Linked DNA regions of Caenorhabditis elegans. The protein of the gene in region 2 purifies or fractionates together with the protein of the main gene of each other region. This does not show direct contact. Each region holds a gene or a part of one and is shown on either strand. Other genes may lie near its edges. The genes, in order: rbm-25 and cpt-5.

Region 1 (7,880 bases), 1.4 Mb from region 2:
TCTTGTATTGCAATTTCAGTTGTTGTCGGTTTTCTTGGTTCTGTGAATCGATGTGGAGATCTCATTGAAACTGGTGGCCATTCGATTCCTACTTTGTCGATAAGTTCCTCTTCCCAAACTTCGATTGATTTTGGAATTCCTTCTCTGCTCCATTTTTTAGTGCACGAAACTAATAGAGTCTTCAACTCATCGGTATCTACAAAGCAAACTCGCTGAGCATAAATGTTGTCTGCAGAGATGCTGAGGAAATGATGCCGTAAAAATCCAATAATTTCCATAGGAGAACTCTGTTCCATTTGCTTCTGAGCAATTATATACTTAATGACATTGGGGAGCCGCATCCGTGCGTCGTGAGCGTAATGATCACCACAAAATTCCGCAGACACATGTCTGAAAATAAAGATAAATTTGTTTATTTTTCAATTTTATTTCAAAGCAGAGGCCCCACGAAAAGGGGAGCAGAACGAAAAGAGGATCTGCAAAAAGGGGATCTGCGAAAAGGGGAGCAACGAAAAGGGGACCTGGCACTGTGCCAAACGCACAAAACACTTTTTTATTCTCATTCAACGCACGACTTTGTTATAACCACACTCCGTTGTGACGCATCGCGCGTTGTTTAGCGTAAAATACAAAAATAATGCGTGCGTTGAATGAGAATAAAAAGCGTTTTGTGCGTTTGGCACAGTGCCAGCTCCCCTTTCCGCAGATCCCCTTTTTGCAGATCCCCTTTTCGTTCTGCTCCCCTTTTCGTGGGGCCTCTCAAAGCATACCCATCATTATGTTCTGTTGCATGAATAAAAGCAGTACACGTGAATCCTAATCGAAATGGTCCTGTACGATCATTGGCTGTATTCTTATCACTACTCACATTGCCACTTCGATTGCATGCCAAAAAAATTCCTTTTCCACGCCCACGTCGTTTTGATCCCGATTTGTGTCGAAAATGAGCACCACCTTCCGACTCTAACCAGAATCTGAACCGCTGAAAAATTAATAATTATCAAATGTCAAATTTTAGATCTCCTACTTCAAATGTAGCACGGTCCGGGAATTCCATTGAATGAACATCCGGAAGAACGTCGTGCTCAATACGCAAATGACTGTGGAACTCAGGTCTCGTGATAAATTCGGAACTACACAATCCGCAACAATAAAATCTCTTTTTGAGTTGAGGATGCGAAACCATATTATCGCTTTGATTACGTCCACATCCATTATTCTTGTGATAATCGATCGTTCGAGAGGCAATCAATTTGTTGCATCCATAGGGGCATATATAACGTGGTTGTTGAGGCTAAAATAGTTCATATTAATTTGCTAAACACATTGCTGAAAACAGACATACTTTTAATTCCATGTAAGCTTCCACATGCATGTCATCTTCAAGATGATGATCATCGATATCATCAGTCATTCTGAAATTATAAATATCAACAATACATAACTAAATATTTCAAAAAATGAAATATAATTAGGACGTTTTATAGAGAAAAATAAGAACATGAAAGCACAGCGTTAATCATTTTTTATTTGAATGAAAAACAGTCGAAGGACAATCGGTGTCAAGAGTAGTTGCTGACGCAGAAGTGGTCACGAGAAATGCGCAAAGGAAAATCGATAAATTTCGTCTGCGCGTTTCAACGTATGCAATTGTTTAGAACAGAATCATCGCATTAATTTTTTACATTTTATATTAAAATAAAACCTTTACCTAAAACCTTTGTAAAACCTTTGTTTTATTAATTATTTGCATGTTATTATATAAATTTCGTTCCACAACACAATCTACTGTCGCTGAAATTGTTCTCTTGATAGTTAGGTGATAATTTATTTTCTCTTTTTTCTTTTTTACTCATTATCTTTTCTGGTCTAACTCTTAATACATTGCCATGCTCCACAACTTTTTTGTTTCAGGAAAAAATCGAATTTAGGACTTCGTTTTTCTCACGACCATGGCTTTCAGACAAGGCTATGGAGTGTCTTCGTACCCTCGTGAGTTTATTGCCTCGAGGCACTTTCTCAGTTAATCTTAAGAAAGTTTTTGTAGAAGAGTTTATTTTTCAGACTATCCACAACAACAACAGCAAATTGTTTTCGGACAGATGAGAATGCCGGGCCAGCACGTAAGCTAGTTTTTTCATGTAAAAAATAATTTTTTGTTTTATTTTCAGACGCCCGCGCAGCAATCAAGCCAACAAAAACCAGATTCGTCGCCAGTTTTTGTTGGAAACATATCCGATAAATGCAGCGATGAGTTCATCCGGAAAATATTAAACGTAATTATTACATTAGTTTATGGAATAAAAATTAATAAATTTTTACAGGAATGCGGTAATGTTGCGAGTTGGAAACGCATTAAAGGAAGTAACGGCAAATTGCAAGGTTTCGGATTCTGCCATTTCACAGATCTCGAAGGAACTCTACGAGCGCTGCGCATTCTTCACGAATTTCATTTGGGGGACAAAAAACTAACTGTAAAGGTTTGTTGAATAATGTTGTTTTCTAATCCCAACGCCAAAAGCTCTATGATTACAGCCTGACGAAAAAGTGCGTGATGATCTACGCAAAAATGCTATTGAAAATAGGAAGAGACAAGGTAAGAAATGGGTTTTTGACAGTTGAAATGTTTCATTCTAATCGATAAATCTCTTGTTTGAAGCATTATTTGCATCATTGGTTAGGTAACACCTTGTCTTTTGCATGTTTCCACGTTTTATGTTTACCGTATCACATGCTTGTAATAACCAAAGCTAGCATTTTTCACTGTTATGATTTTCAAAAATTGTTTGTATGTTTTTTTCTTTTGTCTCACTTCTCATAGTTGGAGAAAATAGCAAATAATTGTGAGCTCGATCTAATATGCCCAGTAGAAAACCAATATATCTGGATTTACCTATAGTTTCTAAATTTCAGGCAAAAAAGAACTGAAGTTAAAGCATGACGAGCTACCTGCAGACGAAGATGATTTGAAAAAAGACGAAGAAATTCGATTGAAAATACTTCATTGGATGGAAACTGATCACAAGGAACTATTTTCAATCACTGAAGGTATAACTTTACTTTTTAAAGGTGGAGTAGAGAAAAATGAACCGTAATGACCAAATATAACTGCTTTTAAAAACTTTTAAAACAATTCGTAACAGTTTTTCTGTTTCCAGATGGAGAACTCTCTGACGAGACCAAGAAAGTCAAGGGACATGATAGTAAAATCGAAAAGCAAACCGTGCCAAGTTCGTCTTCAAATCCAAAAAAGGTGAGTAATAGCTTCTGACGTGTATCCAACGACATGAGCCTTTCCATGGCTCTCCGCTGATATGAGAGGTGACTAATAGTTACAACCACTTTTAACATAAAATTTTAATTTTATGATCATTTTGACTATTCTATATAGGAACATGTATAACCAGCCAAGAATCGGAACACGATACGTAAGTTTTGACCCCATTTTCTTATATTTTTTAATATATATATTAAAACCTAAAAAGTCAATTATATGTAAAATGAGCAAATACACGAACCACATCAATATAAAAATTAATGATCACGTTAAATATGAAAAATGAGTAAATGCAAGAGTCCTATGTTCTAACCAACGCACAATATTCACAAAACTACGAAATTGAATATCGAGTAAAAATTTATGTTTCTAAATCTCACATTTCACCTTTGAAATGCATGTGTGAGTGTGCCAATTAACATGTTTCAGATTAAGCTTTTGCATGCTTTTCCCTTCTTTCTCTCTGCCAACCTCTTCTATTTCACACTCATGTCTTTTCTGTCTCACAGTCTATATTTTTTACGTTCCTCAAATATATTATCGCATTCCTCAGTTGTGTATCTCGGTCCTTTACTAATCATTGTTGGTGTGCAAAATATCAAGTAAAACTACATATTTTCTCCAGCAGGTACCAAAATGTTCCAGATTTTCTACAGCTCCTCCACTCATCAATGATTTTTGGTGGTATGTTGTTGAGTGAATATACGTATGCTTTCGATGTGTGTATGTAACCCCCCGTCTCCCCCACCATTTTTGTTCGAGAAGCCATATAAATTGCTCTGTCGTGCCTCTCATTGGGGAATTGCACCCTTCTTCTATTCCCATTCTTTTGTCCCCAGTATTCGTTTTATTAGTATCATCCTAAAATTACTTCCACTTTTGTAGGGAATATGTCAGAGACGAGCACTCCTTCATCTGCGGTAAGACAAGTTTTGCTCTCTATGTTGAAAATAATCATTTTACTTTCTTGTCGGCTTCCTGTTTTTATTTCTAGCGTTTCTCAAATTTTGACTGAAACTAGAAATTATTTGACGTTGTGTGTGTGTGTAATCCCGCACTAATCAACTGCTTCGATTATAGATTATAGAGAATCGTTTTTATCTAACTTTTTTAGCGTTTTCACTCTCAGATTGCAATACATTCACGCATACAACTTATTCTTGGGCTATACTCACTTTGTTCGTGTCTCCTTGTATTGTATTCCAAAATCGAATTTGCAGAAAAAACTGAACTACTGGATTTCCATTAGTTTTTGCCCAAATTTGAGTCGTAAGTCATCATCCCCTCCAGCTCCCTGTTTTTGTTCCGTTTAATTTAAAGACTTGCATGCTTTCTCAGTCACCTTTTTATTTGGAAAATGTTGGTAACCCTGTTTGAAAAAAAGTTGGGTTTTTAATAACTCATGGTGATGGTTTCGAAAAATTGAAGTGGCCTAATATTAAAAGTGAGTACTACTATGTGTATGTCTATGTGTTACATCAAATTCACGAGAAATATATATTCATATTCTTTTTCTCTCACTCTCTTGCTCTCTTGTCCTCTCGCCTATCAAAGTTTTTTTTGAAAAACTCGATAAGAAAATTGCAAAATAAAATACATGTAGACCAAGTGATCTCAAATATAGATTTTAAATTAATTTTCAATAATTGTATTTCAGGATGAACACAAACGAAATCGCAATCGACGCAGCCGCAGTCGCACAAGGAGCCGAGAAAGAACTTCACGACGATCGAGAAGCAAAGAATCGCCCAGAAGCAAGTAAGTGTTTTAATTTAATTTAATTTTTATTTTCAACCACTGGAGTACCGCTGGAATAGTCAAAGGGTGTTGGTTCTTCAATTTTTCACACAAATTAAAAAACGAAAATATTCCGAATTTTTCGGTATTCCGATACTTCAAAAATTTCGATTTTTCGATAGTTAGCTTATAAAATTTTAGTAATTTTTTTCTTTGTAAAATAAATTTATATGCTTTTTTTCGTCAACATAAAAATAATAAAAAAATATTCTTTAAAAAAATGTTTCAATTTCTACTCAATAATTTTCAGGCGATCACGTCGAAGCCGCTCCAGCTCAAATTCATCCTCAGAATCGGACTCATCTTCATCTCGTAGTTCATCATATTCTTCTCGATCCAGGTCACGCACTCCTCAACGTAGCAGAACATCTAAACGACGCCGAAGTAATAGTCATGCTTCAGAAGACAGCGATGATGCAAGGGAGAAACGTGCTTTCAAACAAATGATGCTTGATAAGAAGCAAGCATATCTGGCTCGTCTGAAACGATGGGAATCAAGAGAACGACAAATGTCGAAAAGGTATGAACGAGAGGAACGGAAAGAGAAGGATCGCAAAAAGACACTACAAAAGGAAGGCAAACGATTAAAACTATTCCTCGAGGACTATGATGATGAGAAAGATGATCCAAAATACTACACTTCTTCTCAATTCTTCCAAAGAAAAAGAGACTATGAACGTGAAAGGGAAGCTGATCAAAAAGATCGAATGCAAGAACAGCAAGAGATTGAAGAACTCAAAAGACAAATTATGGAAGAAGCTGCAAATGATGAGAGTATTAACATTGAAGAGGAGGCAAGGAAACGACACAAACTAAAGGTTTGCATTTTTAATTCGTACGCGGCAAGACAAAAATCTTTCGTTTCGAAGCTTCAAAGAAAAATGACTTGAAGTTTCTAAATAGGTCCATAGAACATCGATCTAATCAAAACCTACCGTATAACTAAAGAAGTTTATACACCATTCAAAATTGTTCCTAACTGAAGTTCTCTTCTTTCTTAATTCTGCCATAATTTTGAGTATTTTTTACAGTATGCCTTCCTTCCACGGGTGATATTTCTCTGGGCTTAATAGAATTGCGCTTTACTTATTTTACTACGCTTAGTAGTGATTGGCACAACTATATACATTCAGTAAACCCTATCAAAAGTTTCAGGAAGAAGAAGCAATGCGAAAAATGCGAGCTGATAGTGGAAGTCCAAATCCTCATCAACCACTTGGTCAATCGGCAAACGGAGAAAAGTCTTCGAGTGAAGAAGAGAGTGATAGCGAAAAGACCGATGTCAAAAAGGAAATTAAGGATGAAATTAAAGAAGAACCAATTGATGTAGATATTTCCGAGCATGTAGATCCTAACACTGGTTCGTCTGGTACAAATGGAAATTTCGGATGGAAAGCGATTGGAGATGACTCTTCTCTCAATACAAAAATAAACCGCCCTATAGCTAACGGAAATCAAAATCAGCCGCAAATTAAAAAAGAAGCATCTCCTATTCCAATTGCTCAACGCCTCAGTGGTGTGTTTGGAAATGATGACGATGAAGACGATGTGCATAGCAAAAAGAAGTTGAAACCATTCGAGATCACTAGAGAAGAGCGTATGCAAGTCATGTCAGCTGAAGAAAAAAGAGAGCTGACGAAGCAGATAATCAAAACTATTCCTGCTACAAAAGGCAAGTTATTTCGAAGAAAACGTTCATAAACTTTGAGTTTTTATGGTAAAATCAAAGATATGTTTATTGAAAAAAAAAACATTTAAAACTTGATTTTTTTCAGATGAACTTTTTGTTCATAGAATCGAATGGGATCAGCTAGATGGGAAATGGATGAATGATCGAATTCGTCCGTGGGTGGCTAAAAAAGTCACTCAATTCCTTGGCGAAGAAGACAAATCGTTCTGTGATTTCATCTGTGATCAAATTGAGAAACAAGCGACACCCCAAGAAATACTCAAAGACGTCGCCGTCGTGAGATGATCAATTATTAAGTAAAAATCTAATATATGGAATTCAGATCATTGACGAGGATGCTGAGCAATTTGTGATCAAAATGTGGCGACTTTTAATTTATGAGGGACAAGCCCGTCGTCTCGGAATTACATAACTACTTTCAATATTGGAAATACATTATGCAATCTTTTTACCACTCATCCCCGCCTCTGTATTGAGTTGTTCTTTACTTCAAAGACTCGTTTTACTGTCTATTTCTCTCTCCCTCTCTGGAATTCATTCCAGTGAGCAGCTGACTTAATAATCGCTATTATAATATTAAATTAAATATAGTTTTCTGTGCTATACTTCAAACTGATATTTTTATGAAATGTGGCATCTACCTCTTGATGATTTCTAATTTAGCTCATCCGTCTCAATTTTCATCATAAATTCCAGCGCAATGAGCTTAAGATGGGCAATATCGCTGGAAGAAACGATAACTTCATCTACATTCCAAAATATGTTTAGACGGGCTATTTTGTGTGCATCGGAAAGTGATGTGGAGCAGCAGAGACGGTTTCGATATAAAGAAGATGCATTGGCATGTCTGATAGGAAGATTAATTCCAAGGTTCTAACAAAATGTTATTCGAGTTTGAATAATTGGAAGACATTCAGAAAAGCTGCCACTATATCAATATCTCGTCAGTGGTCAGATCTAGAGTTTAGTCGGAATGAAAATGGAAAACCATCTCTTATTCAAAATAAATCAGACTATTCTCGTCAAAACTTCGAATACAACGTATCGCATCATGGTGATCTAGTTGTATTAGCTACCGGAGATACTAGAATAGGTTTGTACTAATGTTTTGAATTT
Region 2 (5,047 bases):
TATTGAACTTTTTGAACTAATACTTCACTCTAATTGTAAGTAATTTTTTTGCGTTTGCAATCTTTTTATTTGTAGCTTTTTTTGGGAAACCAAATGTTTTCCAAAAGCTCGCTTACATGCTTAATTATTATGATTCGGTATTGAAAATCTGTGAAATATGTTTCCAATTTTCTTTAAGAAGATTTTTTGTTTCTGTATTTGGAACTCACAATTTATGAAGATTATGTGACTCTCGAGTATTAAACCTTGTGAACCTTTTCATAGATTTACAAATTTTGTGAAATTTTTCAAGCATTTTCAGTTTTCAACTGCTTGGTTTACGACCCTTTTACTTTACCCTCAATTTGTATTTTTTCTATCTATGTACCTCACACGGGTATATAATTGTATAAATTGTACTTCCGGATTTCCAACCCAATTTTATACAATCTTATTCGGAACAACCAAATTTCGTTTACCATTTCGTGAACTAATTTTCGAGAATATATTTTCAGTCATAGGTTTCAGTTTTTGTATTCAATTTCTGAATTAATTGTTTTGAAGTGTTTCATGTTGCTCATGTATGCTCAAAACACAAATTTCTTGATTTTAAAGATGTTTGAACTTTTCAGTCACCTTCTTGAGGCAGCTACGTAACAGCTCTTTGTTCGTATTCGTCTTTATCTTTCTATTGTTATTAAAAGCTTGAGAAAAAATGTCTTTGTTAAAAGTCAACTGAACGCGATGAACTTTTTTATTTTTTCTGTCCTAAAAAGAATAACAACTTTGTTTGAAAAAAAAACAGTTTAAAATAAATCAACCAAACTATGAAATGCTTCTCTCAACCGATTTCCCATTCTATCCGAATCTGTGACTTCTGATGAATGATACGAAGTAATATGAACAAGAATTGCTTGATTTCCTCCGAATCGGTAACAGATTCCGTACCCATCTTGTGCTACAGCTCCAAATGAACCACCAAGCATTATCTTGTCAATTGAAGAATCTTCATCAATCGAGTTTGTCATATTGGGAATCTGGAAAAATATCTACATATTTGCGAAAAATAATTCGGAAAACATACATTACTGGTACTCAGAAGCCACTTCTGACTTTGGAAGAAATTGAGGAATGGACTTTCGTATCCAAGTCCTTTTGCAAGAACACATAGTACAAATAGATGACGATCAAATCCATTTCCTAGCATGATTTCTTTACAGTTATTCACATGAACTTCACAAGCTTCTTTCAATAACTTCCTGCGGGAGGCTATCTGAAAATCAAAATTTTATCGAATTGAACATATTTTTGTATACGTACATCAGATTTATCCGAGAGCATGGCTTCAACAAATTCACAAGACGCTTTTGTTACTGGTCTCAAAGTTTCTGTTCTTGAATTTGCGTAGAATCTAATTGAACCTGGTTCATATGTTTGAGTGAACTTTCCTTGATCCTAAAAATGAAGATAAGTTTGTTAATAATCTTTAAAATTAAAGCCTGCTTTGTAATAAGCCAACTGAATTGCCATTTGGACAAATCCATCTGGAGAAATTCCACATTCCTTTAATTTTCCTTTTCCAAAATCCAAAAACACCATGGAATGCATATGAAGATCGTTGAACGATTTTGTGTGAGCTTCATAGCATCTTTCAATTTCTGATTCCATTCCATCAACTATTTCAAAATCAAGTTTTTCTGCCAATTTCAATGATTTCAAATCTTGCTCAGTGACAGTCGCAATCTCCAATTGTTCTTCTTTGCTCGGGGACTTCAAGATTTGTTTGTCAATGTTCAAGAAATTCTCGCAAAGGTGGTCTAACTCAGCTCCATCGCAAGGAGAGTGTTCTCCAGTAGCCCCACCTCTTCCCGTCTCGTCAACAGCATAGTTCATAGTTTTATCAAACCATCGATTAGTACCATCTCCAGCCAACATATCTTTCATATACCGAGATACTTGTTTAGTTGATTCAACTCCCCAATGATTAGTTCCGTCAATCGCTACTACGAATTGTGCTGTCTCAATGATCTCCAATAACTTTTTGTTATTCTTGTTATTTAGGAAGAACTTTTCCCGGTTTATGCTCCATTCAGTCCGGCGATCAGTAGTTAAACTTCCAATTTTTGAGAGGAATCCATCTGCCTTGTCTTGTCGGTGCATTATTTCCGAAACAATTCTGAAATTATTGAAAGTAGCCATAATATTTGTAGTCATAATATAAATTAATTAACTAAAGAAAATTACGATGCGTTAAATACTTCCACTATCTAATGTTCACGAAAGTGACTTACTTTGCCAAATTATCGACACTGTACAATTTTCCGTTTCGATCAAAAGTATCCACTTTGTACCAAGTACCTTTGTGTACCAGAAGTACATGCTTGCTCGGTGGATTCCATTGGAAATGATCAATTTCTTTTCCAGGTACCCGGCATCCATTGTAAATGTTTTTATAATGTCTGGTAGATAGAAGACCTTCCCCAACCTAATTCGAAAAAAGGGTTCAAAACACACGTTAACAGATACTTACTGCCATGTACTTTTGCCGGTCCAAGGACAAGTTCGCAAGCGACTCATATCGCAACAATCTGGCAACTTGGTACACTTGAGTCAAGTCATCTTCTCCGTACATAACACATTGTCCAATACTACTATTAATAGGTAGAGCATATCGCCCTGCATTGTAGATGTATTTTTCCCAAAAATAGGTTATGTAATTTTCATTAAGCTTATGCCAAAGCCATGCACATCGTTGTAATTTCCGTCCTTCCTCTTTCAAAAATTGGTTTGATGTCTTGATCAGTTCAGTGTGATCTTCCTGATAAGAGAGTACATTGAAGAGTGTACAGACTATTGAAAACTTACCTCTGATAAAACTAATTGCATTGAATCCACATATTGCTTCACTGTGTTTTTTAGAGCAGGGAGTGGAATATTAGGAAGTAGTCGGTCACAAGACGACAGTTGAGGAGGTGCAATTGTAAGGACTGCTTTTCTGAGAATACCCCATAAAATTGTAAAAAAAGATGGTTTTTTTGGGTTCTCCTTCAAATATCCTTTGTAAGAAAAATAAAAATATTTTAGGAAATGACGAAGAAGGAATACGGAAGTGTACACAGATCCTATAGAAATCGCAAGGGGCCTCACAATCGTTTGAATGTTCTGCTGAATGTCTGGGAGGCTAAAGTTTCTCAGTTGATAACCAGTAGCAGTTGTGACAAGGGCCAGAAATGGAATTGGTCTGATTGGCCAAAGGCGGTTTTCAAACCAGTTCTGAAAGTTATCACAAATAAATAATTAATTTGACATGTTGAATATAAAGTTTTTTACTGAAAACTTACATAAGTTCGGTACGAGAATCGTTCAATTCTTCCAGGAAAATGATTAATTTTTGGATACGGCCATTCAAATTTTTTTTTATTTGATGACATTTTTCACTGCAAATTTCAATCTATTAGCAAAAAAGTAAACAGAAAAACGACATTTCATTTCTCGATCTTCATTTTATAGAAACCACCTGGCTACACTTAATGCTACATTTTATTGACTTTGTTCGTTTCTTTCGTTTTTTTTCCTAGTAGCTTTGCACGCAAATGATAAAATAGTGTAGTCTAGCATCGGCTCAAAGAGCTACTACTTTGTGATGTATAAAAGGAATAATTTTCCGCGATATCATGTGCTGCTTTAAAACATGGAAGATTTTTAATCCTTCCCAAGTTTCATAACTGTTTTTCTTGACCTTCGAGAGGGTCTAAAACCAAAAAAAACTGGCATTGATCTTAATTTTTACTGAAACAAGATCTAAAAACCTGCCTCCTTTCTATATGAATCTTTCAAAGCTTATGATTAGACTAAGTAACACAACAAATAGAGCCAAACCCGAAAAAACGATCTAAAAATGTTCTCATACTTCCTTCCTTTACCTTCATATTGGTTTTAAGTTCAGCAGATAAAACTTTTTAATGGACTTAGGCCTTGTTCCAAAATCTGAACAAAACTTGGGATTATTTTCTTGGTAATGAATTATTTTTTTAATATGTGCCTTTTTCTATTTTCCAATTCGAAAAAATATTTATTTTTCAAATAACTTTGTAGGAAAGTAAATTATTTTTCAAATAAATCCACCAAACTATGAAAAGCTTCTTTTAAATAATTCCCAAATCTATCAGAATCTGTGGCATCAGAAGAATGATATGAAGTGATATGAAGAGGAATTGCTTGATTTCCACCGAATCGATAGCAAATTCCATATCCATCTTGAGCAACCGCTCCAAATGATCCACCAAGAATAATATTGTTTCTTGAGGAATCTTCATCGATTGTATTCGTCATAGTGGGAGCCTGAAAATTGCGTCTCATGATGCATAAATCAAATAAGTTCATAAAATAAGTAAACATACATTACTAGTACTGATAAGCCATTTTTAGTTCTGATAAAAATCTAGGAACGGGCTTTCGTACCCCAGTCCTTTAGCAAGAACACACAATACAAATAGACGACGATCAAATCCTTTTCCTAGCATAATTTCTTTACGGTTATTCACATGCAGCTCGCATGCTTCTTTCAACAATTTCCGGCGTGAAACTTTCTGAAAGTCAATTTTATTTATTTTTCTCCAATAAATAGGCTTACATCCAATTCATCATTCAACATTGCCTTTACAAACTCGCATGAAGCCTTGGTTACTGGTCTCAAAGTTTCTGTTCGTGTATTTGCATAGAATCGAATCGATCCTGATTCGTAGGTTTGAGCAAATTTTCCTTGGTCCTTCAATTTGAAATATACTTTTAATTAGAAAAACAGAGAACAAAAAATAGTGTTTACCTTGTAATAAGCCAATTGAATAGCCATTTGCACAAATCCATCTGGAGAAATTCCACATTTCTTTAATTTTCCTTTTCCAAAATCCAAAAACACCATGGAATTCATATGAACATCATTAAAAGCTTTTATGTGAGCTTCATAGCGTCTTTCAATTTCCGATTCCATTTCATCAACTACTTCAAAATCAAGTTTTACTGCCAATTTCAATGATTTCAAATCTTGCTCAGCGACAGTCGCAATCTC

The links.
Region 1: the proteins of cpt-5 (region 2) and rbm-25 purify together in Caenorhabditis elegans (affinity purification with mass spectrometry, with the first as the bait; one large-scale study listed by BioGRID). This does not show direct contact.

The regions. Positions count from the first base shown.
Region 1 is NC_003283.11:12,496,341-12,504,220, forward strand, and holds rbm-25 (RRM domain-containing protein), read left to right. Parts: upstream 1-1,872; 5' UTR 1,873-1,952; coding exon 1,953-1,992; intron 1,993-2,064; coding exon 2,065-2,123; intron 2,124-2,171; coding exon 2,172-2,276; intron 2,277-2,324; coding exon 2,325-2,480; intron 2,481-2,535; coding exon 2,536-2,596; intron 2,597-2,913; coding exon 2,914-3,048; intron 3,049-3,158; coding exon 3,159-3,253; intron 3,254-3,395; coding exon of another isoform or gene 3,396-3,428; intron 3,429-4,934; coding exon 4,935-5,035; intron 5,036-5,324; coding exon 5,325-5,892; intron 5,893-6,223; coding exon 6,224-6,746; intron 6,747-6,849; coding exon 6,850-7,040; intron 7,041-7,086; coding exon 7,087-7,176; 3' UTR 7,177-7,365; downstream 7,366-7,880. Other genes in the region: W04D2.4 (C2H2-type domain-containing protein), read right to left, coding at 1-390, 771-982, 1,028-1,294, 1,346-1,414; T28H10.1 (L-aminoadipate-semialdehyde dehydrogenase-phosphopantetheinyl transferase), read left to right, coding at 7,465-7,634, 7,682-7,857.
Region 2 is NC_003283.11:13,871,564-13,876,610, reverse strand, and holds cpt-5 (Choline/carnitine acyltransferase domain-containing protein), read right to left. Parts: upstream 3,417-5,047; 5' UTR 3,411-3,416; coding exon 3,321-3,410; intron 3,253-3,320; coding exon 2,845-3,252; intron 2,798-2,844; coding exon 2,510-2,797; intron 2,465-2,509; coding exon 2,271-2,464; intron 2,156-2,270; coding exon 1,483-2,155; intron 1,435-1,482; coding exon 1,300-1,434; intron 1,253-1,299; coding exon 1,064-1,252; intron 1,017-1,063; coding exon 786-1,016; 3' UTR 723-785; downstream 1-722.